Linked DNA regions of Anolis sagrei. The protein of the gene in region 1 purifies or fractionates together with the protein of each later gene. This does not show direct contact. Links are inferred from orthologs where the notes say so. Each region holds a gene or a part of one and is shown in the gene's direction. Other genes may lie near its edges. The genes, in order: ITPR1 and ERLIN2.

Region 1 (12,339 bases):
CAGTGCTTGGGAAAGTTATATTTTTTAGACTACAGTTGGCAAGACAGTCCAGGAATTCAGGAAGATATAAAATTTAAAACGTAAGGTTTCCAAGATCTGCAATCAGGTTTTTCAAGGCCACTTGGTACTTCAGAGCAAGACCTCTTAAACTTTTCCACTTGTGACCCCATTCAGTCCAAGACATTTTTCCGTGATCCTGAAATATATATATATATATATATATATATATATATATATATATATATAGTGTCAGTATTTGCAAGGCTTTCTAAACACACTGATTTTCTTTTTTGTGAAATACAGCTGAAGCATCTTCTGCAGAGTCTACTTGAAACACTCCACAACAGAAATGTGTAAATGTCTGAAATAGCCATTAGGTGGAGTTCAGAAAATGTTTACTCTTGACAATTTTTTTAGGACCTCAACATAGGGCCCATTTGGGGTCAGGACCTACTGTTTAAGAAGCAGTGCTTTAGAGGAGCTAATGGGAATATGGAATTAAATCTTGAGTCCATGTGCACTGAGTACATAAGCTAGTGGATTACTCGCTGTCTTCTTCTTCATCATCATCATTACCATCATCATTTGGTGTTGCTTTAGAAATAACTTTCACAGTAGTGGTTCATACTGTACAAAACGACTTTCAAAAGCTAGGCAAGGCAGTGTACAATCCAAGTGACAAACCACTTAAACAAGCAAGCTTACATTTAGATAAGATTACTGCTCTTGATTCAACAAGCACTGGATTAAATGAAGTGCTGTGTATTGTTAGCAAAGGTAGTTGCTGAGCTATAGCTGTGAATGCTTTGCTGGAAATTAAGGTAATCAAACATAGCCTGCTATTCCAAATACAGACCCTGCACATCTTAATCCACACATTTGATTCTCTTCGTCTGTGGGGGCCCTTTCACACAATGCAATCATAGTACTATGGTTCACTTTAACTGCAATGGGTCTATCCTATGGAATCCCAACATTTAATTTTGAGAAGGGGAATTTACACTTCTCAGGCAGGGAGACCCACTGTCTTATGAAACCACAAATTCATGTATTCCATAGGATGTAGTTATGCAGTTTGTGGAACCATAGTGCAATCACTGTGTAGTGTGAAAGGGTACCAAGTGAACTGACAAACTGACTAGTCTGCTTGTGACAAACCAGCATATCACATCCTAAGCAGAGAGCAGGGTAAGGTATTTTGACAAGGGAAATTTTGACAGGGGAGATATTTTGACAGGGGAAATAGGGCAAGAGAATTCAAATGGCCATATGCTGGTGAACATCTGTCTGTCAATGAATTAAAGTAATCATCTGGGTCTGCTTTCCTGTCCACTGTGATTATGCTGCACTGTGAAAGTTTTCTAGTGAAAGGCTCAAAAACAGATCTGCTATCCCCTTTTTGTGACTCTTCTTCAATGGAGATCCCTTCTACACTGTCCTATATTCCAGGATCTTATCCCAGATTATCTGTTTTGAACTGGATGATATGAGTCTACGCTGCCACATAATCTGGGATAAGAAGATAATAAGAAGATCGTGGGCTATAGAGCTATGTAGAAGGGACCATAGTTGGTGTGGAAGAGTGAGCTATTTTTCAAAGAAGTTGTCATAATAGGATCGTCTACAGTTTTGAATTAATGCAGTTTGACACCACCTTAATTTTTATGACTCAGTGCTATTCAATCATGGGAGTTGTAGTTTTATCAAGCTATCAGCTCTCTCTGCTGAAGAGTTTTGGTGGGTCACCTAACTACAATTCCTAGGATCCCACAGCATTAAGTCACAGCAGTTAAAAGTGTTGTCAAACTGGTGCTTATTCTATATTGTGGAAAACCTTTAGCTGCTGATTTCCTCAGACCAAGCTTCTATTAAAAGCACAAGCAGCAAAGTGCGCGCATGTGTGGGAAGAGAGCAGTCTGGTCTTTAGAAAGGATTTGGACAAATCCACAGAAGAAGGAGTTCATCAAAAGATATTGGCTGCAATAAAGACATTGAATGTTTGATGACAGGCAAAAATGCCAATACAACTTGGGAAAAGAGGTGTAAGTTTCTAAATAGTGGAAAATTTAGAGCAGATACAGACTGAGCCTCCCTTATATGGAAATCTGAAATACTCTAAAATTTGAAATTATTCACATTAGGTGGCTGAGACAGTGATACCTTGCTTTCTGGTGGTTCAATATACACCAACCTTATTTCAGGGACAGTGATCAAATGTTGCATAAAATTACCTTCCTAATACCTAAAAGATGTATGTTGTTGTTTATTTGTTCAGTCGCCTCCCTTCAACTACACCCAAGAGTATTGAAGGAACTAGCGAAAGTCATTTCAGAACCATTGGCAACCATCTTTGAGAGTTCTTGGAGAACGGGAGAAGTCCCAGCAGATTGGAGGAGGGAAAGGTGGTCCCAATCTTCAAGAAGGGAAAAAAGGACGACCCAAACAATGACCGTCCGGTCAGCCTCACATCAATATCAGGTGAGATTATGGAAAAGATTGTTAAGGAAGTGGTCTGCAAACACTTAGAAACAAATGCGGTTGTCACTAATAGTCAACACGGATTTATCAAAAACAAGTCATGGCAGACTAATCTGATCTCCTTTTTCGATAGAGTTACAAGCTGAGTATATGCAAGATACTCCACTTGGGCAGAAGAAATGAAATGCAAAGATAAAGAATGGGGGACAATGCCTGGCTCGAGAGCAGTATGTGTGAAAAAGATCTTGGAGTCCTCGTGGACAACAAGTTAAACATGAGCCAACAATGTCATGTGGCGGCAAAAAAAGCCAATGGGATTTTGGCCTGCATCAATAGGAGCATAGTGTCTAGATCTAGGGAAGCCATGCTACCCCTCTATTCTGCCTTGGTTAGACCACACCTGGAATACTGTGTCTAATTCTGGGCACCACAATTGAAAAGAGATATTGACAAGCTGGAATGTGTCCAGAGGAGGGTGACTCAAATGATCAAGGGTCTGGAGAACAAGCCCTGTGAGGAGCGGCTTAAGGAGCTGGGCATGTTTAGCCTGAAGAAGAGAAGGCTGAGAGGAGACATGATAGCCATGTATAAATATGTGAGGGGAAGTCACAGGGAGGAGGGAGCAAGTTTTCTGCTGCCCTGGAGACTAAGATGCGGAGCAATGGCTTCACACTACAAGAAAGGAGATTCCACCTGAACTTTCTGACTGTGAGAGCTGTTCAGCAGTGGAACTCTCTACCCCGAATTGTGGTGGAGGCTCCTTCTATGGAGACTTTTAAACAGAGGCTATATGGCCATCTGTTGGGGGTGCTTTGAACACAATTTTCCTGCTTCTTGGCAGGGATTGGACTGGATGGCCCATGAGGTCTCTTCCAACTCTATGATTCTGTAATTCATGACCTCATAGACCAGCCCACGCCAGAGCTCCCTGTTGACCGTCGCCACCCCCAGCTTCAAGGACATGCCAGTCACTGCAAGGATACCATCCATCCATCTTGCTCTTGGTCGGCCTCTCTTTCCTTCCATTTTCCCCAGCATCATTATCTTCTCCAAGTTTTCCTGTATTATCAATATGTGGCCAATAATATCAATATGTGGCCAAAAATAAATATGTAGTTTATTTTTGCCTCTATTATCCTTCCCTCCAATGAGTAGTCGGGCTTTATTTCCTGATGTATGGACTGGTTGGATCTTCTTGCGGTCCGAGGCACTCTCAGAACTTTCCTCCAGCACCACAGTTCAAAAGCGTCTATCTTCCTTCACTTAGCCTTCCTTATGCTCCAGCTCTTGCATCCATAAGTTACCACAGGTAATACTATTGCTTTAACTATGTGGATCTTTGTTGCCAGTCTGATGTCTCTATTCTTAACTATTTTATAGAGATTGGTCATTGCTCTCCTCCCAAGAAGTAAGTGTCTTCTGATTTCCTGGATGAAGTCTGTGTCTGCAATAATCTTTGTGTCTAGAAATACCAAGTCTGCCACTGCCTCCTTGTTTTCTCCCTCTATTTGCCAGTTACCAATCAGTCTGGTTGTCATAATCTCAGTTTTTTTTAATGTTTAACTGCAACCCAGCTTTTGCACTTTCTTCTTTCACCTTGATTAGAAGGCTCCTCAACTCCTCCTCGCTTTCAGACATCAAAGTGGTATCATTTGCATATCTGAGGTTGTTAATGTTTCTTCCAGCAATTTTAACTCCAGCCTTGGATTCATCAAGCCCTGCACATTGCATGATGTGGGTGAGAGTATACAACCTTGCCGTACTCCTTTCCCAATCTTGAACCAGTCTGTTGTTTCGTGGTCTGTTCTTAGTGTTGCTACTTAGTTATTATACATATGCATATGAAACACAAACAAATTTCATGTTTAAACATGAGTCCTCATCTCCAAGACATCTCCCAATAAGCATATATGCCAATACAGATATCTGGGAAAAAAAAGTCCCATATCCAAAGCATTTCTGGTCCCAAGCATTTCAGATGAGGGATATTCAACCTGTATATTTTAAAAAGCATTTGTTATAGATAGCCACTGCCAGAGAGAGTTTAAAAAGTGACAGATTCTTGGAAGATCAGATGAGAAATCCACCAGTGGTTCCAGTATTGAAAGCATTAGGTATTTGCACATCAATTGCTGGCAAGCATAAGATAGAGAGGCCGCAGAATTGTTCCCATGCCTTTCTGGCAGGATGGGAGTGTTTATTCCAATACCTCATAAGAAGAGCTAAGCTAGATCAAACCAAAGAGTGATCTAATCCATCATATTTAATACTTTTATCTACACCGTAGAATGAATTGAGTTTGACACCACTTTATCTGCCCAATGCTATGGAATCAACGGGAGTGGTAGTTTTACAAAATGTTAGTCTTCTTTGTCATAGTGCTTGTGACTTACCATACTACAAATCCCAAGATACTATAGCATTGATTCATGGTGGTTAAGTGCTGTTAAACTGCACTAATTCTACAATGTAGATGAACCCTTGGTTGAGACCCAAAGTGGTTTGCAACATTAAAAACAATGCAATGTGTTGTCGAAGGCTTTCATGGCCAGAATCACTATTGCTGTCAGTTTTGCGGGGTATATGGCCATGTTCTAGAAGCATTCTCTATTGATGTTTCACCCACATCTATAGCAGCAGGCATCCTCAGAGGTTGTGAGGTTTTTTGGAAACTAGGCAAGTGGAATGTCCAGGGTGGGAGAAATAACTCCATAGATATATAAACCCCACTTGCCTAATTTCCAGCAGACTTCACAACCTCGGAGGATGCCTGCCATCAGGGCCGTAGCCAGAAAAAAAATTTCGGGGAGGGTTGAAATTTCAGGGAGGGTTTTTGAAAATTTGGGGGGGGGGGGGTTGAAACCTGCCTCCAACTCATGCTGAAGCCAAGAGCACAGCGGGGGGCAGAACAGCCTTCAATAGCCTGCAGCTCCGCCCCTGTCAACCACCTCCACCAAGTCTGGCCTCCTTGATGAGAGCTTTCATCACCCCCCCCCAACTTGGTTGCTTCACTACATGGGCTATTGCTGCAAGTAATGACAGTGTGAATAAATTGTCGATATTTGCTTGAGAGAGTGCTTGCAGTTCTGGAGGGACTCTTAATTTTTTGCATCTCATAGACTTAGCATGGGGATTTGGTTAACCAGTTAAAATTCATGAGCAAACCAGGTTTTTTTTAAACCTGAAAATTTTCGGGGGGGGGGGGGGTTTGAACCCCTACCCCCCCCCCCCCCGGCTACAGGCTTGCCTGCCATAGATGTAGGCAAAACATTAGGAGAGAATGCTTCTGGAACGTGGCCATACACCTCAGAAAACTCACAGCAACCCAATGCAATTGTAGACTCATAGAATCATAGAATTGGAAGAGGCCATCCAGTCCAACCTCCTGCCAAGAAAGAGGAAAATTGCATTCAAAGCACCCCCGACAGATGACCATCCAGCAATTTAAGAGCTACAATATATACATACTTTATATATCTTTAATTCAATCACTTAAAGCAAGCAAAACAATTAAAATAATGAAAACCCTATAGAGCAACCAAGAATAAAATCCCAAACACTTCTGGTCCCCAAAGTTTCAGATGAGGGATCCTCAAGCTGTATCTGTATCTAACTTCCTACACAATTCTCTCACTTTTTTTCTCTCTGGTCGACCCTGAGGTCAACGATTTGGCTTTCTGTTGTCATTCCTTTTTAAAAATACACACACAGATACACAATCACAACGGGGTTTCGATGCATATTACTCATGTGTGCTGCCTCGTACTGCAAACACTCACAGATGGTTGAAATTCTTGGCTTGTGCAAGGAAGCGGGGGAGGGATGAGGAGTTGTCAGTCTATATATAAAAAAAGTCTTGAGAGAAAGCTCCCAAATAAATGTCTCTTTGAATGAATATAAAACAAAAGGTGGGGGGGGGGGCGCAAGGGAGGATCTTCTCCACTCCTTTTATTTATTTATTTATGTTAATATTGGAATGTAGAAGGGGGGAGCCTTTGCCCGCCGGGGATTGGTTGACGGCAGGGAGAAAAGGCTCCTCTCGGCCAATCAGCGCCCCAGAAAGAACTTCGGCGTTCGAGAGACAACATTCCTTTTGATCTGATACACACTCACGCAGAAGAAGAAGAAGAAGAGACGCTGCTGCCCCGCTCGCCGAGACTCTGAAGCAGCCCACCCTGAGAGCCCGGTGCATGCTGGGAGCTGTAGTCCCCCCGCGGCGTTCCATCCGCGAGAGCGGGCGGGGGAGCGGGCCGGCCCGGACTACATTGCCCAGGGAGCCTGTCGGGAGTATATAATCAGCTGCAGGGAGCTGGCGAAGTGCAGTAACCATGTGGATGTTGAGCTAGCAGGGTGTTTGGCAGAGGCAAAGGGAGGCTGGCTGAGCAACCTCCATCCCTGGCGGAACCGGGCAGGGGCCGAAAAGGGGAATATGGGATTACCAAGAGGCTGATCAGTCACCCCAGGATTTAAGAGGAGTCCCTTATGCAACCAGGTAAAGCAATAGGGTGGGAGAGGAAATGAGGATGGGGTGTTTTCTCTCCTCACAGAGGATGTAGCTCTGGCTTATGGTGCATCTACACTGTGGAGTTAGCGCAGATTGATACCGCTTTAACTGTCATGGCTCAATGCTATAGGATCCTGAGGTTTGTGGTGCATCTACACTGTGGGAAAATGCAGTTTGATACCGCTTTAACTTATATGGTTCAACACTACGGAATCCTGGGGTTTGTGGAGCATCTACACTGGAATTATTGCAGTCTTATGCCGCTTTTACTTCTATGGTTCAATACTATGGGATCTTTGGGTTTGTGGAGCATCTGTGGGATTAGTGCAGTTTGATACCACTTTAACTTCTATGGTTCAACACTACGGAATCCTGGTGTTTGTGGAGCATCTACACTGTGGGATTAGTGCACTTTGATATCACTTTAACTTCTATGGTTCAACACTATGGGATCCTGGGTTTGTGGGGCATTTACACTGAGGAATTAGTGCACTTTGATACCAATTTAATTTCTGTGGTTCAACTGGGGTTTGTGGGACATCTACACTGTGGATTAGAGCAGTTTGACACCAGTTGGAACTGTCATGGCTCAATGCTGTGAAATCCTGGGATTTGTAATTTTGCATCTGTATTGTAGGATGAATACAGTTAAGTAAATACTACTTTAGGTGCCATGGCTGTATCTATACTATGGGATCCTGGGATGTATAGTGTTATAAGGGGTGCATCTACACCAGGCATGGGCCAACTTGGATCCTCCAGGTGTTTTGGACTTCAACTCCCACAATTCCTAACAGCCTATGGCTGTTAGGAATTGTGGGAGTTGAAGTCTAAAACACCTGGAGGGCCCAAGTTGGCCCATGCCTGATGTACACAGCGTAGAATTAATTTGTGGTCGCTTTAACTTCAATGGCCCGGTAGTATTATCGGATCCTGAGTGGTGGTAGTGCATCTACACTGTTGAATTAATGCAGTTCTGCACCACTTCATACTGCCGTGGGAGTTGTAGTTTTACTTTCTCCCCCTTTGCCAAAGATTCTTGTTGCCCCTCCAAACTATAACTCCCAGGATCCCATAGCAATGAGCCATGGCAGTTGAATTGGAGTCAAACTGCATCGATCCTACAGTGTAGATGCACTAGCTGTGTCCATTAAAAACCCATATTGGTTTGTGTGCCTTCCCTTTCTTACCAGATCACCCAGATGCCTGTTTCTGCAGCAAGGATTTGTAGGGTGTTTATTTATTATTATTTTGGAAGTAAAGAAAAGAAAGCAGCAACAGATTTTTCTTTATTTTTCTGTCTCTGTTCAATCCCCGCCCTAAGTTTGCAACAGTTTGTTTGCTGTTACTGTTTTATGTTACTGTTTCTGCATCTTTTTTTGTATTTTATGTGTTGCACCTTTGAGTGCTTTGTAAGCTGTCCCAGGTCCTTCTGGGGTATAAATAAATAAAGTTTAAATCTATTATTATTATTATTATTATTATTAACAAGAAAGCATTTGTAGCTGCAGGGAGACTTGAAAGGCGATCTTGGATTGTTATTGTTCATTATTTTTGGAAGGGAAAGATGTCCTTAACTGGCTCAAAAAAACAACAACTTCATGGCTTTGATGCAGCAAACTATAAAAAGCCATTTAAGGAGGATGTGAGTTGGGGTTTTTTTTCTGGGGAAAGAGGGAAAGTCAAAAAAGGGATTAAGCCACAGATGGTTCTGCCCAACAGGTAGGTCTGAATAGTCTGGTTACAGAGACATCCCCTCTTCCCTTGGGTTTCCCTTGACATCTTAAGCAGGAGCAACAGCGCCAGGGTTTGCTTTCTTGCCAGGTTGCGTTCCTTGGCAGCAAACTTTTGACATCTGGGGCCGCGACAGGCATTTCAAAGTTATTAACTCAATTGCTTTTGTTTCAAATGGAGCCGGAGAAAGCAGACAGCCCCTTGGCTCCGGCCAGTGTGGAAAAAGGATGCCTGTGGAAGGGTGGCTCAGGGTGCATCTACACCAGGCATGGGTTAACTTGGGCCCTCCAGGTGTTTTGGACTTCAGCTTCCACAATTCCCAAGTTGGCCCATGCATGTGCTATTTTGACATACTCATTTGCATATGCTTTCTGACTGGCCAGCCTCAACATTCTAGCATACTTAAGTGGCTGAGGGGGGAAAGGAAGGGGCCTGAGGCTGTGAGGAATGGGGGGAGTTGGAGTCCAAAACACCTGGAAGGCCCAAGTTGGCCCATGCATGAGCTATCTCGACCTACTCATTTGCATATGGTTTCTGATTAGCCAGTTTCAACATTCTAACAGGCTTAAGTGGCTGAGCAGCAAAAGGAAGGGGCCTGAGGCTGTTAGGAATGGTGGGAGTTGGAGTCCAAAACACCTGGAGGGCCCAAGTTGGCCCATTCATGAGCTATCTCAATCTACTAATTTGCATATGGTTTCTGATTGGCGATCCTCAACATTCTAACTTTCTTAAGTGGCTGAGCAGGAAAAGGAAGGGGCCTGAGGCTGTTAGGAATGGTGGGAGTTGAAGTCCAAAACACCAGGAGGGCCCAAGTTGGCCCATGCATGAGCTATCTCGACCTACTCATTTGCATATGGTTTTTTATTGGCCAGCCTCAACATTCTAGCATACTTAAGTGGCTGAGAGGGAAAAGCAAAGGGACTGAGGCTGTTAGGAATGGTGGGAGTTGAAGTCCAAAACACCTGGAGGGCCCAAGTTGGCCCATGCCTTATCTACATTGGAGAATTAATGCATTTCTGCTCCACTTGAACTGCTAAGGATCAATGCTATGGAGTCCTGGGAATTTGAGTTTGATGAGACACCAAACTAAACCATTTGTGAAAAATACAAGTCCCAGGATTCTGTGGTATTGAGCCACCACAGTTAAAAGAGGTGCCAAACTGCATTGGTTCTACAGTGTTGATGCAAGCGAAAAGTAGTTACCAGAAAATGAATTACATATTTTTAAAACTCCCTTTGAAATTGAGTTGATGGATTGAGTTGAGGGATTTAGGAGATCAGAGTTAATATGATGAAAGGGGTGACATTTTTTTTTAATCTGCCAGAGTAATGATTCTCAAGCTCTGGTCCTCTAAAGAATATGGGAAGTGGAAGGGTGCATCTCTACACTGTAGAAATAATACAGTTTGACACCATTTTAACTGCTATGGCTCAAATGTTATGGAATCATGGGAGTTTTAATAGCAGGCACTTTTTGGCAGAGAAGGCTAAAGGGGCTTCTAAGACCACAATTCCAACAATTCATAGAATCATAGAGTTGGAAGAGACCTCATGGGCCATTCAGTCCAACCCCCCTGCCAAGAAGCAGGAAAATAGCATTTGAAGCATCCCTGACAGATGACCATCCAGCCTCTTTAAAAACCTCTAAAGAAGGAGCCTTCAACACAGTCCAGGGCAGAGAGTTCCACTGCTGAACACCTCTCACAGTTAGGAAGTTCTAATGTTCAGGTGGAATCTCCTTTCCTGTAGTTTGAAGCCATTGTATCACCTCCTAGGATTCCATAGTATTGAGCCATGGAAGACAAAGTGGTGTCAAACTGCGTTATATTTACAGCATAGATGCAGCCAAAGCACCTGGAAGATCAACATGTGGGAAACACTGTTCCAAAACTTCCTTATGAAGGACAAAATAAAGGGTGTCTATAGTGCTTTCGCAAAAGCAAACTATGTACATGAATATCTTGTGGAGGTTATAGAGATGACTCTTGGAAGGGTCCGAAGGAGAGGTACACCATTATATAAGAGAGAAAAGAGAGCTCTTTGTTTTCTCTCCCTTTGCATGTTAACCATGTGAACAAAGGAAGAGGTGAAGTAAGAAGTGTTTTTTCATGCAACAGGACAAGGAATTTGTGTTATTATAGCTTTACTTTCCCTCTGTGTGAGGGGATGAGATTAAGTCTTGTTTCTGTAGAGTTTAATGTGCATTAAAGGTTTTATAATTTCTCTACGAGGAAATGGTGTGGCCTGGAGAATATATATGTGTGTGTGTGTGTCTATGTATATGTGTATGTGTGTGTGTGTGTGTGTGTGTGTGTGTATATATATATATATGTGAGAGAGTAAGAGAGAGAGAGAGAGATTATTTTTATGTGTAGGCAGCATAGTACTGACAGTTTTATTTTTAGTCATCTTCTTAATAAACCATAGCATGGGATTAGCCAATTTTTATTGCAATGGCACACCAAGATGACGTTTCTTTTTTCATTAAGTTTTTCCACCTTGATTCCCAAATTCTTTTTCTGAGGAACTTGCAAATGGTTCAGATTTCACCTCCCTCTCTCTCTCTCTCTCTCTGCTTAAGCCTGTATCTATATATCTATATATATCTGAGACTGCTTTACTCCATGTGCAGTTATAGTGCACCTGTTTAAAGAGAATCTCATTTGCAGTTTTATAGCCTCTTGATTCATAAAGATCCTTTTGGAACCTTTTCCAATTGCTTTTGATTTTCAGCAATAATTGGATGTTAGCTGCAGGTTTGTCTCCACTCTGAACTGCTTACCTCAGTCAAAAACAAATTAAATAACATTGCTCCCAACAGAAATATTTGCAGTTCTCTCCAGTGCGAAAAAGGTCTGTTTGCTCCTATTGCCTGCTACTTATTTGCCTGTTGATTAGTTTCTCATTCATAAAATAGATGTTGTCTCATACTACGCCTTTGTTTACAGTTATGAGCTTTAGTGATGGACCTTGTCCATCATCCATCCAGTCCATCAAAGACCACCCAATTCACCTATTGAGCTGCAGGGAGAGGCTGGTAATAAAGTCGTCATCATCATTAAATATCATTCTGCTTCCCCTTTTTCAAGTTTAATGGTTCTAATTTTGATAAAGTTTTCCATCATTTTTCATGGGATCTATGTTAGGCTAATGGCCCTGTAGTTTTTCTTTGAGATCCAGTATGGTATAGGGGTGTCAATGTGATCTTATGTCTCTGGAGAACAAGGTTTAAATTCCTCATCAGCCTTGGAAACCCACTGAGTGGCCCTGGGCAGGTCACACTTTCTCAACCTCAAAAGAAGGCTGAATAAGTTTTGCCAAAAAAAAAAAAAAACCTGCATAAAGGGGTCTTCTCAGAGTCGTTGGAAATAGGAAACATCTGCAAGTCAGATAACAAAACCCATTTCCTTGCTCCATTCTGAATCCCAATTGACTCTGTTAGTGTTATGGTGGTTGCCTCTCTGTGAACATGAAGGGAGGATGTTAATTTTATGTTTCTGTTGCACCATACAAGGGGATTATGGTAAGCAATCCTTCACAGTTGAACCAAATAACTGGGATTTCTATCACCTCCCCTGTTTTTTAGTTTGTCTCAAATGCATCCGTAGCCTTTAAATTGTAAA
Region 2 (12,531 bases), on another chromosome or scaffold:
ATTCGTAATTCGTTAAAAAATTCGTTAATTTTTGAATTACGAAACGATTACAAAACATTTTTTTTAACCTGGAAGTGTTTTTAAATATCGAAACGGCAGGCGCCAAAAAATTTTGTATTTCCGTCCATTTCGGAAATACGTAAGATGGCCGCCTGCCGATGCTTGCTGAGAGGGGCGAGCGAGCGGCGAGCGAGAGGGGCGGAAGCACTCTCTCCTGACATTTCACCCACATCTATGGCAGGCATCCTCAGTGGTTGTGAGGTCTGTTGGAAACTAGGCAAGTGGGGTTGATATATCTGTGGAATAATGTTCAGGGTGGGAGGAAGAACTCTTGTCTGCTGGAGGCAAGCGTGAATGTTGCAGCTGGCCAGCTTGATGAGCATCGAATGGCCTTGCAGCTTCATGGTCTGGCTGCTTCCTGCCTGAATGTTGCAATTGGCCAGCTTGCTTAGCATTGCCTATTAATAATAATAGCGAGCGGCGAGCGAGAGGGGCGAGCGAGCGGCGAGCGAGAGGGGCGAGCGAGAGGGGCGGAAGCACTCTCTCCTGACATTTCACCCACATCTATGGCAGGCATCCTCAGAGGTTGTGAGGTCTGTTGGAAACTAGGCAAGTGGGGTTGATATATCTGTGGAATAATGTTCAGGGTGGGAGGAAGAACTCTTGTCTGCTGGAGCGAGAGGGGCGAGCGAGCGGCGAGCGAGAGGGCCCGCCAGAGTGAGTGCCTGCCTTCCCTCCTTAATAATAATTAATAATAATTAATCCCTATTCTACTAAATTAATAATTAAATTTAAAAAATATTGAAAAAATATTGGAAAAAAAAGGGCGCCATCTTTACAAAATGTTTTGTAAATATTTACGAAATTTCGTAAATACCAAAACTTTTTTTTGGGAAAGTTTTGTAATTATTTTAAATATCGAAACAAAAAAAAAACCCCAATTACAAATCGATTTTAGAAACAAATTTTTGCGTTGTTACCCAGGCCTAAATTTTACCACAAAAAACTGGGAAAACGTATTGTGTTCTGGAACAGCTGTACCAGGAGCTCCAAATTTGTTTGCTTTGCATTGAATGTTTGTTGTAGTCCTAAGTTTCAGGGACTCTGCAGATAGGTGGTGTTCTGTTGCCGCTGGAGCCGAAATGAGGTGCTTTTAAGAGAGGATGTAAGGCTTGCATCCAGCGGGAAGCCAAGGGCCCCGAAAAGAAGCCTTTAGGAAAATTCCCCTTATTAAGCAGTCTTTATGAGGCTTGAGCTTAAATATAACAGTTCTTTATTAATGAACAAACAGGAATTGTAAACTTTCTTGTCAGTCTATTAGCTCTTGCAATCTTGTTTACAGGAAACAGGCACTATCTTCAAAAACTTTGCTCAAAGGAAAATTCCCCTTTTTAGCTCCTCCCAGGCTACTGTGAACCTAAACCTGACTGACTTGAGTCCACTACCGGCTGAACTGCATCTCAGAACCTAGCAGACATACCAACAGGCCTGTAGTCACTTAGCTGGAGATGAGCAGAGCTGTTATTCCATCTGGAAGTCCTCAGGGCTGTAAAGCTGTTTCCCTGGAACCTTTTGGGAATCTGTAGAGGCTCTTAAAACTGTTCTCCCCCGGGAAGTCTTAAGAGATGAAGCCTTTGCACAGGAGGATGTTTGTGTACATCCTCTGCATTGACTTCTTTTTTGAGACTGATTGAAAAATGGCCCCTTCCCTCCAAAAAAACCCAGAGAGGGGCGGGACCAGGGAACCTAACTGTTATTGACGACTGGCTTGTCCTATGAATGCAAATTATAACAGGAAGCTACCCTGCTGCAAAAAATGTTGCAAACCAACATTTAATTCAAATAAATAAAATTGGAGCTCCTGGAACAGCTGTTCCAGAACAGGTGGCTTCTTTTGGCTGCAATCATAGGGCAAGCCACCTGTCAATTATAGTTAGGTTCCCTGGTCCCGCCGCCTTTTTGGGTTTTTGGAGGGAATAGGAGCCATTTTTGGGTCAGTCCACACAGAGAAGCTTTCCATGCTCCTGTAGAAAGCTTTGTCTTCTACGGCTTGGCCAGGGAGATATACAGCCCACAGCTTGGCCGAGGATCATACAGCCTTACAGCTCCTTTGCTGAGGGACTTCAGTCAGCCATCACGGAAACCTGAACTCCTTTTACCTTGGAAGTCTACAAAGTTCTGCTTGGTAAGGGTCACTTGCGGAAGCCAGAAGCAGTTGGTACCGGGTGCAGGGGCTCCACGCCAACAGAGGCAAAGACAGACTGCCCAGATTAGAAGTTAAGGATTTCCCCATTAGTTAGTATACAGTTATGAAGATAGTGCCTGTTCCCAGTGAACAAGATTGAGACAGCCAATAGACTGTTAAGAAAGCTTTAAAGTACCTGTTTGTTTTCAGCAATAAAGAACATTGTTGAACCTTTAAGCAATCTAAAGACTCTGTTGTAAGGAAATCCAAAGGCCTTTAATCTGAGGCAGCCTCGGCGTCCCATTGAGCACACAGAATTTGTGTCCTGTCTACAGTCTTATGCACAGGCCCAGCGTGCGACAGCACATATTGACTCAAGTATAAGCCGAGGATTGGAAATGCAGCAGCTACTCGTAGATTTCAAAATAAAAATAGATACCAATAAAATTACGTTAATTGAGGCATCGGTAGGTTAAATGATTTTGAATCGATATAAATAAAAATGTAATGTTGGTTTGTGGGATAAACAGAACTCAAAAACCACTGGACAAATTGACACCAAATTTGGACACAAGACACCTAACAACCCAATGTATGTCCTTTGCTCAAAAAAATTGCTTTTGTCATTTGGGAGTTGTAGTTGCTGGGATTGATTGTTCACCTACAATCAAAGAGCATTCTGAACCCCACCAATGATAGAATTGAACCAAACTTGGCACACAGTTCTCCCATGACCAACAGAAAATACTGGAAGGGTTTGGTGGGCAGTGTCCTTTGGTTTTGGAGTTGTAGCTCACCTACATCCAGAGATCACTGTGGGCTCAAACAATGATGGATCTGGACCAAACTCTACACAAATACTCAATATGCCCAAATCTGAACACTGGTGGACTTTGGGGAAAATAGAATCCTGACATTTGGGAGTTGTAGTTGCTGGGATTTATAGTTCACCTACAATCACAGTGCATTCTGAACCCCACCAACGATAGAATTGGGCCAAACCTCCCGCACAGAACCCTCATGTGGACCACAACAATGTGTGGCAGGGGACAGCTAGTATTTACATAAAACTGTAATTTAAGGTAAGACTGTCCATGTTGTAGTAGAGTCTGTTGGCAACTCTGCAACTGGTAGTAGGCAGAGGCGGCCCTAAGTAATTTTCAACGGTAAGCAAACAGTATTTTGGCGCCCCCCCCCCCCCCCCCAACCAATCATTGATATATATTTTCTATTCATCATGGGAGTTCTGTGTGCCATATTTGGTTCAATTCCATCATTGGTGGAGTTCAGAATGCTCTTTGATTTTAGGTGAACTATACATCCCAGTAACTACAACTCGCATATGTCAAGGTCTATTTTCCTCCAAGAGCACCTCAAGAGCGCCCCAGGGCAAAATCAACTATACTGCAAATACTTACTTTGTGTAATGGGTTGAGCCGCCCCTGGTAGTAGGAGTGTCAGAGGAGGGAAAAGAGGAATTCAGGAACTAGATGAGGAACAACAGAGGAAGAGGATCCGGGAGATGCTTACATTACCCACTGATGAAGAATCCTTCGAGGGGTTTTCCGAAAGTGAAATGAGTGGGGAGGAGGAAGGAGATTCAGTAGATGTGAATCGGGGAACTAAGAGGATTACTCGAGAGCAAGAGTCAGACGAAGAGCGTCGGAGAAAGAAAATCGGGGACATACTTACTGCTCCCACGGAAGAAGAGGATTTCATGGGTTTTTCTGGGAATGATGGGTCTGGGAGTGATGGGGATGAGGAGGAAGCACTAGATTGGACCAAGGTACAAAAGGTTCAGAATGTGTGTACTCAACCAACGTCCAGTGACACATTTGCGGGGTTTTCTGGTGGTGGGGATTGGCAATCGGGTGATACTGTGGGATCCTGGGGAGACCTAAGTCTTGACAAGAGGTGGAAGAGTTGGAGGGATGGGCGTTGGCACTCAGCTGTGGAAGCTAAACCAGCAGAGAGTGATGAGGACGGGGTGGAGGGCAGCTCCACCGCGACAAGAGTTCTTTGTCCCACCCTGGTTATTCCACAGATATATAAACCCATTTTCCTAGTTCCAACAGCCCTCACTACCTCTGAGGATGCTTGCCATAGATGCAGGCGAAACGTCAGGAGAGAATACCTCTAGAACATGGCCATATAGCCCAAAAAAACCCTACAACAACTATTATTATTATTATTTCTAACACTTCTACCCTGCCCTTCTCAACCCTCGAAGGGGGACTCAGAGCGGCTTACACTAGTAGCAAGTCAATGCCAAAACGTAAAAAACAGATACAATAAATATATGCCTGTGAAAAAGTTTTGTTGTTGTTTATTCATTCAGTTGCTTCCGACTCTTCGTGACTTCCTAGACCAGCCCAGGCCAGAGCTCCCTGTCAGCTGTGGCCACCCCCAGCTCCTTCAAGGTCAAGCCAGGCCCTTCAAGGATGCCATCCATCCATCTTGCCCTTGGTTGGCCCCTCTTCCTTTTTCCTTCCATTTTCCCCAGCACCATTGTCTTCTCTAAACTTTCCTTTCTTCTCATGATGTGGCCAAAGTACTTAATCTTGGCCTCTAATATCCTTCCCTCCAATGAGCAGCCGGGCTTCATGTTATGGCAGTGTGGACTAATATAATATAATTACAACACCGCCTGAGCTCTGCAAGTGCAGCATTTTCCTGAATGAAGCAGAGAGTGTTTGAGGACCAGGACATCCATAGGGATACCAAGGTGCTTGTCTATAAAGCCATTGTCCTCCCAACACTGCTATATGCCTGCAAAACATGGACTGTCTAAAGGCATCACATGCAACTCCTGGAACGATTCCATCAGCGCTGCCTCCGGAAAATCCTGCAAATCTCTTGGGAAGACAAGCGGACAAACGTCAGCGTGCTGGAAGAAGCAAAGACCACCAGCATTGAAGCGATGGTCCTCCGCCATCAACTCTGCTTGACCGGCCAAGTTGTCCTGGAGGAGACGTGGTTTTAAAAAGGGAATTTTCAGATATTTCCCCAATGCCCATATGTCATGATTTACTGCCATATTGGCCTATTTCTGCAGTAGGCCTATGTTCACAGAAAATGCTGATTGTTTGAGAAATCAGTGCTCCAAAGAAGTTACTATTCAAGGATAACAGCATATCCGGACAAAACCAGCTAGCTGTTGGCTAGTTAGAACCCCCAAGTTTCCCAGTCGCTCTGAAGCCATGTTTGCAACACACTAACAGATAAGATACAGTCATGGTCAGAGAACAATGAACCATAGTTATGTTATAGTTGTGCCATTGTTAGGATCCCACGTGTGCTATAATGTCAATCAAAATCATAAACAACTGATGAACAACTGCATAATTAACTTAGACCAATGAAATGATTTGTCTTTGGAAACCAATGAAAATGTATATTCCATTTACTATAAATGCTCTGCAGTCCCATTGGGGGTTGCGACAAACCCTTTGATTGCATCCCTGTATGCTTGTTTGTCGTTATTGCTATGGCCACGCAATAATAAATAGTTTTTTGCAGTTTAAAGGATTCAACTTTCGTGGTGTCCATCCTTGCCCTCCCTATTGGAAAGGGGGCTTCTGCCTTTTGGGAAATATTTTGGTTTCGTTGCCCCTACAGTCCGAATGCCCGAGCACCATCTCCCAAAGCAGCTGCTCTACTCCGAACTCAAGAACGGAAAACACAATGTTGGTGGGCAAGAAAAGAGATTAAAAGATGGGCTCAAAGCCAACCTTAAAAACTCTGGCATAGACACTGAGAACTGGGAAGCCTGGTCCTTGAGTGCTCCAGTTGGAGGTCAGCTGTGACCAGCAGTGCTGCAGAATTTGAAGAGGCACGAATGGAGGGCGAAAGGGAGAAATGTGCCAAGAGGAAGGTGCGTCGAGCCAACTTCGATCGGGATCGCCTCTCACCTGGAAACCAATGCCCTCACTGTGGGAGAAGATGCAGGTCAAGAATAGGGTTCCACAGCCACCTACAAACCCACCCCCAGGATACCGAACTTGGAGGACCATCATCCTCGGACTACGAAGGATCGCCTAAGTAAGGACTAATAATCCAGTTCAAAGCAGATCACCTGGATTCAGAAACTGGGTGATATATAGCAGTTGAATATAAATCCAGCCTGCTTTGAATGTAAAAAGCAGCTTGCTCCTAATTGGAGAGAGGAAGAGGTGGGATCGTGAACTCTTTTCCTTCCTTGGGGGGCTTTTGAGCAAAACTGGACGCTGGCCATCTGTCGGGAGGGCTTTAGTTGTGTCACAAAGGGGTTGGACTGGATGGCCTTTAGAAGTCCCTCCCAACTCGAAGGCTAAGGGATCCTGAACTCTTTTCCTTCCCTGGGGAACTTTTGAGGAAAAGCTGGACGCCGGCCATCTGTCGGGAGGGCTTTTGAGGAAAAGCTGGATGCCGGCCATCTGTTGGGAGGGCTTTAGTTGTGTCAGAAAGGGGCTGGGCTGGATGGCCTGTAGAAGTCCCTTCCAACTCGAAGGCTAAGGAATCTTGAATGCTTTTCCTTTCCTGGGGGCTTTTGAGCAAAGGCTGGACACCGGTCATCTGTCGGGAGGGCTTTAGTTGTGTCAGAAAGGGGTTGGACTGGATGGCCTGTAGAAGTCGCTCCCAACTCAAAGGCTAAGGGATCTTTAACTCTTTTCCTTCCCTGGGGGCTTTTGAGCAAAGGCTGGACGCTGGCCATCTGTCAGGAGGGCTTTAGTTGTGTCAGAAACGGGTTGGGCTGGATGGCCTTTAGAAGTCCCTCCCAACTCGACGGCTAAGGGATCCTGAACTCTTTTCCTTCCCTGGGGGCTTTTGAGCAAAGACTGGATGCTGGCCATCTGTCGGGAGGGCTTTAGTTGTGACGGAAAGGGGTTGGACTGGATGGCCTTTAGAAGTCCCTCCCAACTCGAAAGCTAAGGGATCCTGAACTCTTTTCCTTCCCTGGGGGCTTAGCAAAGACTGGATGCTGGCCATCAGTCAGGAGGGCTTTAATTGTGACAGAAAGGGGTTGGATTGGATGGCCTTTGGAAGTCCCTCCCAACTCGAAGACTAAGGGAACCTCTGCAGCTCTAGCTTTCAGGCCAGAAGGAGAAGAAGGGAAAGCCTGGCCTGGAGACCTAAGGGGAGAGGAAGGGAGGAAAGGGGCGGGGCTTAAACGTCAGAACGTTCTAAGCCGCGGCGGCGAAGGCTGATGCCGTCACAAAGGCGACAACCCGGAAGTGGCGGCCACAGGGCGAGCAGGAGCTGCAGGCGGAGCAGGTGGTGAGTGAGTGAGTGAGTGGAGGCGGCTGCTCTTTCCCTTCCTCTTCCTCCCTCGTTGCCCTCCTCTCTCCCGAGGAAAGGGCTCTTCTTTGCATTTCCCTTTCTTTCCTCTCCCGCTTTCCTTTGGGTTCAGAGTTCTCGCAAAGGAATGCAACTCGACGCCTCTTGAAACCGCCATGGGCTCAATGGAATGGATCCCCAGGAACTGTAGTTTGGCGAGGACTCAGCAGGCCGTGGTCCTTGCAAAACTACAACTCCCAAGACTCCATAGCATTGGGGCGCAATGGTTGAAGTGACTCAGGGTTAAGGGATCCTGGGAGTTGCAGTTTGGTGAGGTCCAGAGTCTGTCTGGTTGAGCAGTTTAAAAGCCTCTCCCTAAACAACAACCCCCTCCCTAAACTACAAAACTTCTCCCTAAACAACAAAGCCTCTCCCTAAACTACAAAGCCTCTCCCTAAACAAACCCTCTCCCTAAACTGCAACTGCCCCTAAACTACACCCCCTCCCTAAACTACAAAGCCTCTCCCTAAACTACAACCCCCTCCCTAAACAAACCCTCTCTATAAACTGCAACCCCCTCCCTAAACCACAAACCCTCTCCCTAAACTACAGCCCCCTCCCTAAACTACAAAGCCTCTCCCTAAACTACAGCCCCTCTCCCTAAACTACAGCCCCCCTCCCTAAACTACAGCCCCCCTCCCTAAACAAACCCTCTCCCTAAACTGCAACCGCCCCTAAACTACAGCCCCCTCCCTAAACTACAAAGCCTCTCCCTAAACTACAGCTCCCCTCCCCAAACAAACCCTCTCCCTAAACTACAGCCCCCTCCCTAAACTACAGCCCCTCTCCCTAAACTACAGCCCCCCTCCCTAAACAAACCCTCTCCCTAAACTGCAACCGCCCCTAAACTACAGCCCCCTCCCCAAACTACAAAGCCTCCCCCTAAACTACAGCTCCCCTCCCTAAACAACAAACCCTCTCCCTAAACTACAACCCCCTCCATAAACTACAGCCCCCCCTCCCTAAACTACAGCTCCACTCCCTAAACTACAGCCCCTCTCCCTAAACTACAAAGCCTCTCCCTAAACTACAGCCCCCTCCCTAAACTACAAAACCTCTCAAAAACTACAGCCCCCTCCCTAAACTTCAGCCCCCCTCCCTAAACAACAAACCCTCTCCCTAAACAACAAACCCTCACCCTAAACTACAACCCCCACCCCTAAAGTACAAAACCTCTCCCTAAACTACAGACCCTCTCCCTAAACTAAAACCCCCCTCCCTAAACTACAAACACCCTCCCTAAACTACAGACCCTCTCCTTAAACTACAAACCCTCTCCCTAAATTACAACCCCCCTCCCTAAACTACAAACCCTCTCCCTAAACTACAGCCCCCCTCCCTAAATTACAGCCCCCTCCCTAAACTACAAAGCCTCTCCCTAAACTACAGCTCCCCTCCCTAAACTACAACCCCCCTCCCTAAACAACAAACCCTCTCCCTAAACTACAGCCCCTCCCTAAACTACAGCCCCCTTCCTAAACTAAAAAACTCTCCCTAAACTACAGCCCCCCTCCCTAAACAACAAACCCGCTCCCTAAACTACAGCTCCCCTCCCTAAACAACAAAGCCTCTCCCTAAGCTACAGCCTCCCTCCCTAAACTACAAAGCCTCTCCTTGAACTACAACCCCCCTCCCTAAACAACAAAGCCTCTCCCAAACTACAACCCCCCTCCCCAAACTACAAACCCTCTCCCTAAACTACAGCCCCCTCCCTAAACTACAAACCCTCTCCCTAAACTACAAACCCTCTCCCTAAACTATAACCCCCTCCCTAAACTACAAAACCTCTCCCTAAACTACAACCCCCTTCCCTAAACTACAAACCCTCTCCCTAAACTACAGCCCCCCTCCCTAAACAACAAACCCCAGAGTCCTACAGGAGGCATAAACTGGATTTAAAGTGGATCCATGCTCTAGTGTGATGATGTCCCTTGTAAAACTACAATTCCCAGGATTCTGTAGCACTATTGTATTTATTTATTTATCGTGTCAGGAGCGAACCAAAACTGTTGCATTGCATTAAAAACAAACAAACAACCAAAAAACAAAGTTTGCAAACTTGATGTTCTATTAAATGTCCTGGCCACTTGGAGTGCCTCTGGTGTTGCCGCAAGGAGGTCCTCTATTGTGCATGTGGCAGGGCTCAGGTTGCATTGCAGCAGTTGGTCAGTGGTTTACTCTTCTCAGCACTCGCATGTCGTAGATTCCATTTTGTGGCCCCATTTCTTAAGGTTGGCTCTACATCTCATGGTGCCAGAGCACAGTCTGTTCAGCGCCTTCCAAGTCGCCCAGTCTTCTGTGTGCCCAGGGGGGAGTCTCTCATTTGGTATGAGCCATTGATTGAGGTTCTGGGTTTGAGCCTGCCACTTTTGGACTCTCGCTTGCTGGGGTGTTCCAGCGAGTGTCTGTAGATCTTAGAAAACTATTTCTTGATTTAAGATGTTGACGTGCTGGGTGATACCCAAACAGGGGATGAGCTGGAGATGTCAATGCCTTGCTCCTTTCACTCTTGGCTGCTGCTCCCCAGTGGATGTCAGGTGGTGCAATACCTGCTAAACAGTGTAATTTCTCCAGTGGTGTAGGGTGCAGACACCCCGTGATAATGTGGCATGTCTCATTAAGAGCCACATCCACTGTTTTAGTGTGTTGAAATGTGTTCCACACTGGGCATGCATACTCAGAAGCAAAGTAGCATATTGCAAGGGCTGCTTTGTGATATCAAACCTGGGGTTTGATCCCCAGGCTGTGCCAGTCAGCTTTTGTATGATATTGTTTCTAGTGCCCACTTTTTGTTTGATATTCAGGCAGTATATCTTGGTTGAGGTGACTCAGTGCTATGGGATCCTGGGAGTTGAAGTTTGGTGAGGCACCAGAACCCTTTGGCCGCGGAGGCACTAGAGCTTGGATCCACTTTAAATCCGGTTTCTGCCTCCTGCAGAATTCTGAGATTTGCAGTATTATTATTATTATTATTATTATTATTATTATTATTATTATTATTACCATCTCCTCTAGGAGACTCAGTGCAGCTTACAAGGGCAAGCCCAAAAAACAATTAAAACACACAAATAAAACACCAATTAAAAACATCAGATAAAAACAATGCAACACAATTATACACAGCGTAAGAGCAATATGGCTGAAAAGAGCTCCCTGTCGGCTGTGGCCACCCCCAGCTCCTTCAAGGGCAAGCCAGTCACTTCAAAGATACTATCCATCCATCTTGCCCTTAGTCTGCCCATCTTCCTTTTTTCTTCCATTTTCCCCAGCATCATTGTCTTCTCCAGGTTTTCCTGTCTTCTCATTATGTGGCCAAAGTATTTCATCTTTGCCTCTAATATCCTTCCTTCCAGTGAGCAGTCAGGCTTTATTTCCTGGAGTATGGACTGATTTGATCTTCTTGTGGTCCAAGGCATTCAAGGAGGTTAAAGGGTAGTATTTTCAAGAAAGCTTCCTAAATCGGATGTCCTGTACATGTACACTATTGGGCCACAAGTCTAAGAATCTCTACAAAGTGGTGATGTTGAAGATCAAATATATCTGGAGATCTTGGGGTGATGTAGCAGGGGGAGCTACTCAAACACTGTTTGTTGGCCTTTGGAATTCCTGTTTATCCACTTTCTAGTTATGATATCCCATCAGGTGGTGCCAGGGTTTTATGATGGGTTAGGTCAATCTTTTGTGCTCTGTTTACCAACTTATAAAGAATACCTCACTTGTTTGTCGATAGAATGCTGGGTAAGACAGAATTCATCTGATAGCAAGGAAATTTACTTATTGATTCTCTGTGTGTATCATGAATCAGAACACACTGTGGTATCATACAGAGTTTCATAATACACTGGGATGAATTGTTCTTTTATTGCTTTTGTGCCTCTCTCTGATTTCCTTTCTTCTTACTCTCTCCCAGGTTACACTCTCAGGGATGACTCAGTTGGGTGCCATAGCAGCTCTAGCTGCCAGCCTGGTGGCAGCTGCTCTTTTTTCTGCAATACACAAAATTGAAGAAGGGCATATTGGTGTTTATTACAGGTGCGTGCTTGTCTTTGGGGTGAGTTGCAGAATCTAGCTGTCTGTTGTTTGGTCCCAGCAGTCTTCCAAATCAGATTCGAGGACACGTTGTTCTGTGACTTCAACTAGACAGCATGGGGTCTTTTTGTAACAAAACTCTTCTTTTAGAACAGCCTTCCTTGGGAAGTTTAGTCTGGTGCCATCCTTGGGACCTTTTTAGTCCATCCAGGTCTTTTGAATAAATTGTGTAATCCGAACTGTTAGACTTTAATTTAAGACCATGCATTTTAAATTATAATTGCTATGAATTTCAGTTTCATTTATTCTGCTTTTGAACTATTTATTTATTTATTTATTTTACCGTGTTTGTATTCCGCCCTTGTCACCCCTCAGGGGACTCAGGGCGGATTACAATGTACATATACATGGCAAATATTCAGTGCCATAGACACACAACGTATATAGACAGACACTCAGAGGCTATTTAACATTCCAGCTTCTGGCCACCAGGGGAGCTGTCGCTTCACTGTCCGTTTGTGACACTGATGGAGTACTTCCTCATTCTTTTTGCATGCTGCTGGAGAGTTTTATGGTATCATAAATTAGCCTCCCCGCATAAGCGGTACCTAAATTTCCTACTTGACAGATGCAACTGTCTTTTGGGCTGCAAAGGTCGACAACAAGCTACACAATATTGGTCAGGAGCTCACTCTGACCCGGGCTGGCTTCGAACTCATGACCAGTAGTGATTTTAGTGCAGCTGACTCCCAGCCAGCTGCACCACAGTCCCGGTATTAAAAAAAAATCAACAACTCTAAAATCAGGACATTAAATAAAGAACAACATTCAAAAACAAGGGAAATCCAGAAAGGAAACAATCAGGGCCAGCTAACATCTCTCAACAAAGGATTCCCCCAGGCAGGAAGCAGCCAAGATTTGAAGCTGCAAAGCCATTCAGCACTAATCAAGATGAGCAATTGCAGCATTTACACTTGCCTCAAACAGACAAGAGTTCTTTC

Evidence for each region.
Region 2: the proteins of ITPR1 (region 1) and ERLIN2 purify together in Homo sapiens (affinity purification with western blotting, with the first as the bait; 4 studies listed by BioGRID). This does not show direct contact. The link is inferred for Anolis sagrei from reciprocal best matches to the Homo sapiens genes ITPR1 and ERLIN2.

Annotation. Positions count from the first base shown.
Region 1 is NC_090022.1:45,929,979-45,942,317, forward strand, and holds the start of ITPR1 (inositol 1,4,5-trisphosphate-gated calcium channel ITPR1), read left to right. Parts: upstream 1-6,595; 5' UTR 6,596-6,970; intron 6,971-12,339. UniProt on the Homo sapiens protein: Inositol 1,4,5-trisphosphate-gated calcium channel that, upon inositol 1,4,5-trisphosphate binding, mediates calcium release from the endoplasmic reticulum (ER).
Region 2 is NC_090027.1:11,306,377-11,318,907, reverse strand, and holds the start of ERLIN2 (erlin-2), read left to right. Parts: upstream 1-7,341; 5' UTR 7,342-7,441; intron 7,442-11,411; 5' UTR 11,412-11,426; coding exon 11,427-11,533; intron 11,534-12,531. UniProt on the Homo sapiens protein: Component of the ERLIN1/ERLIN2 complex which mediates the endoplasmic reticulum-associated degradation (ERAD) of inositol 1,4,5-trisphosphate receptors (IP3Rs) such as ITPR1.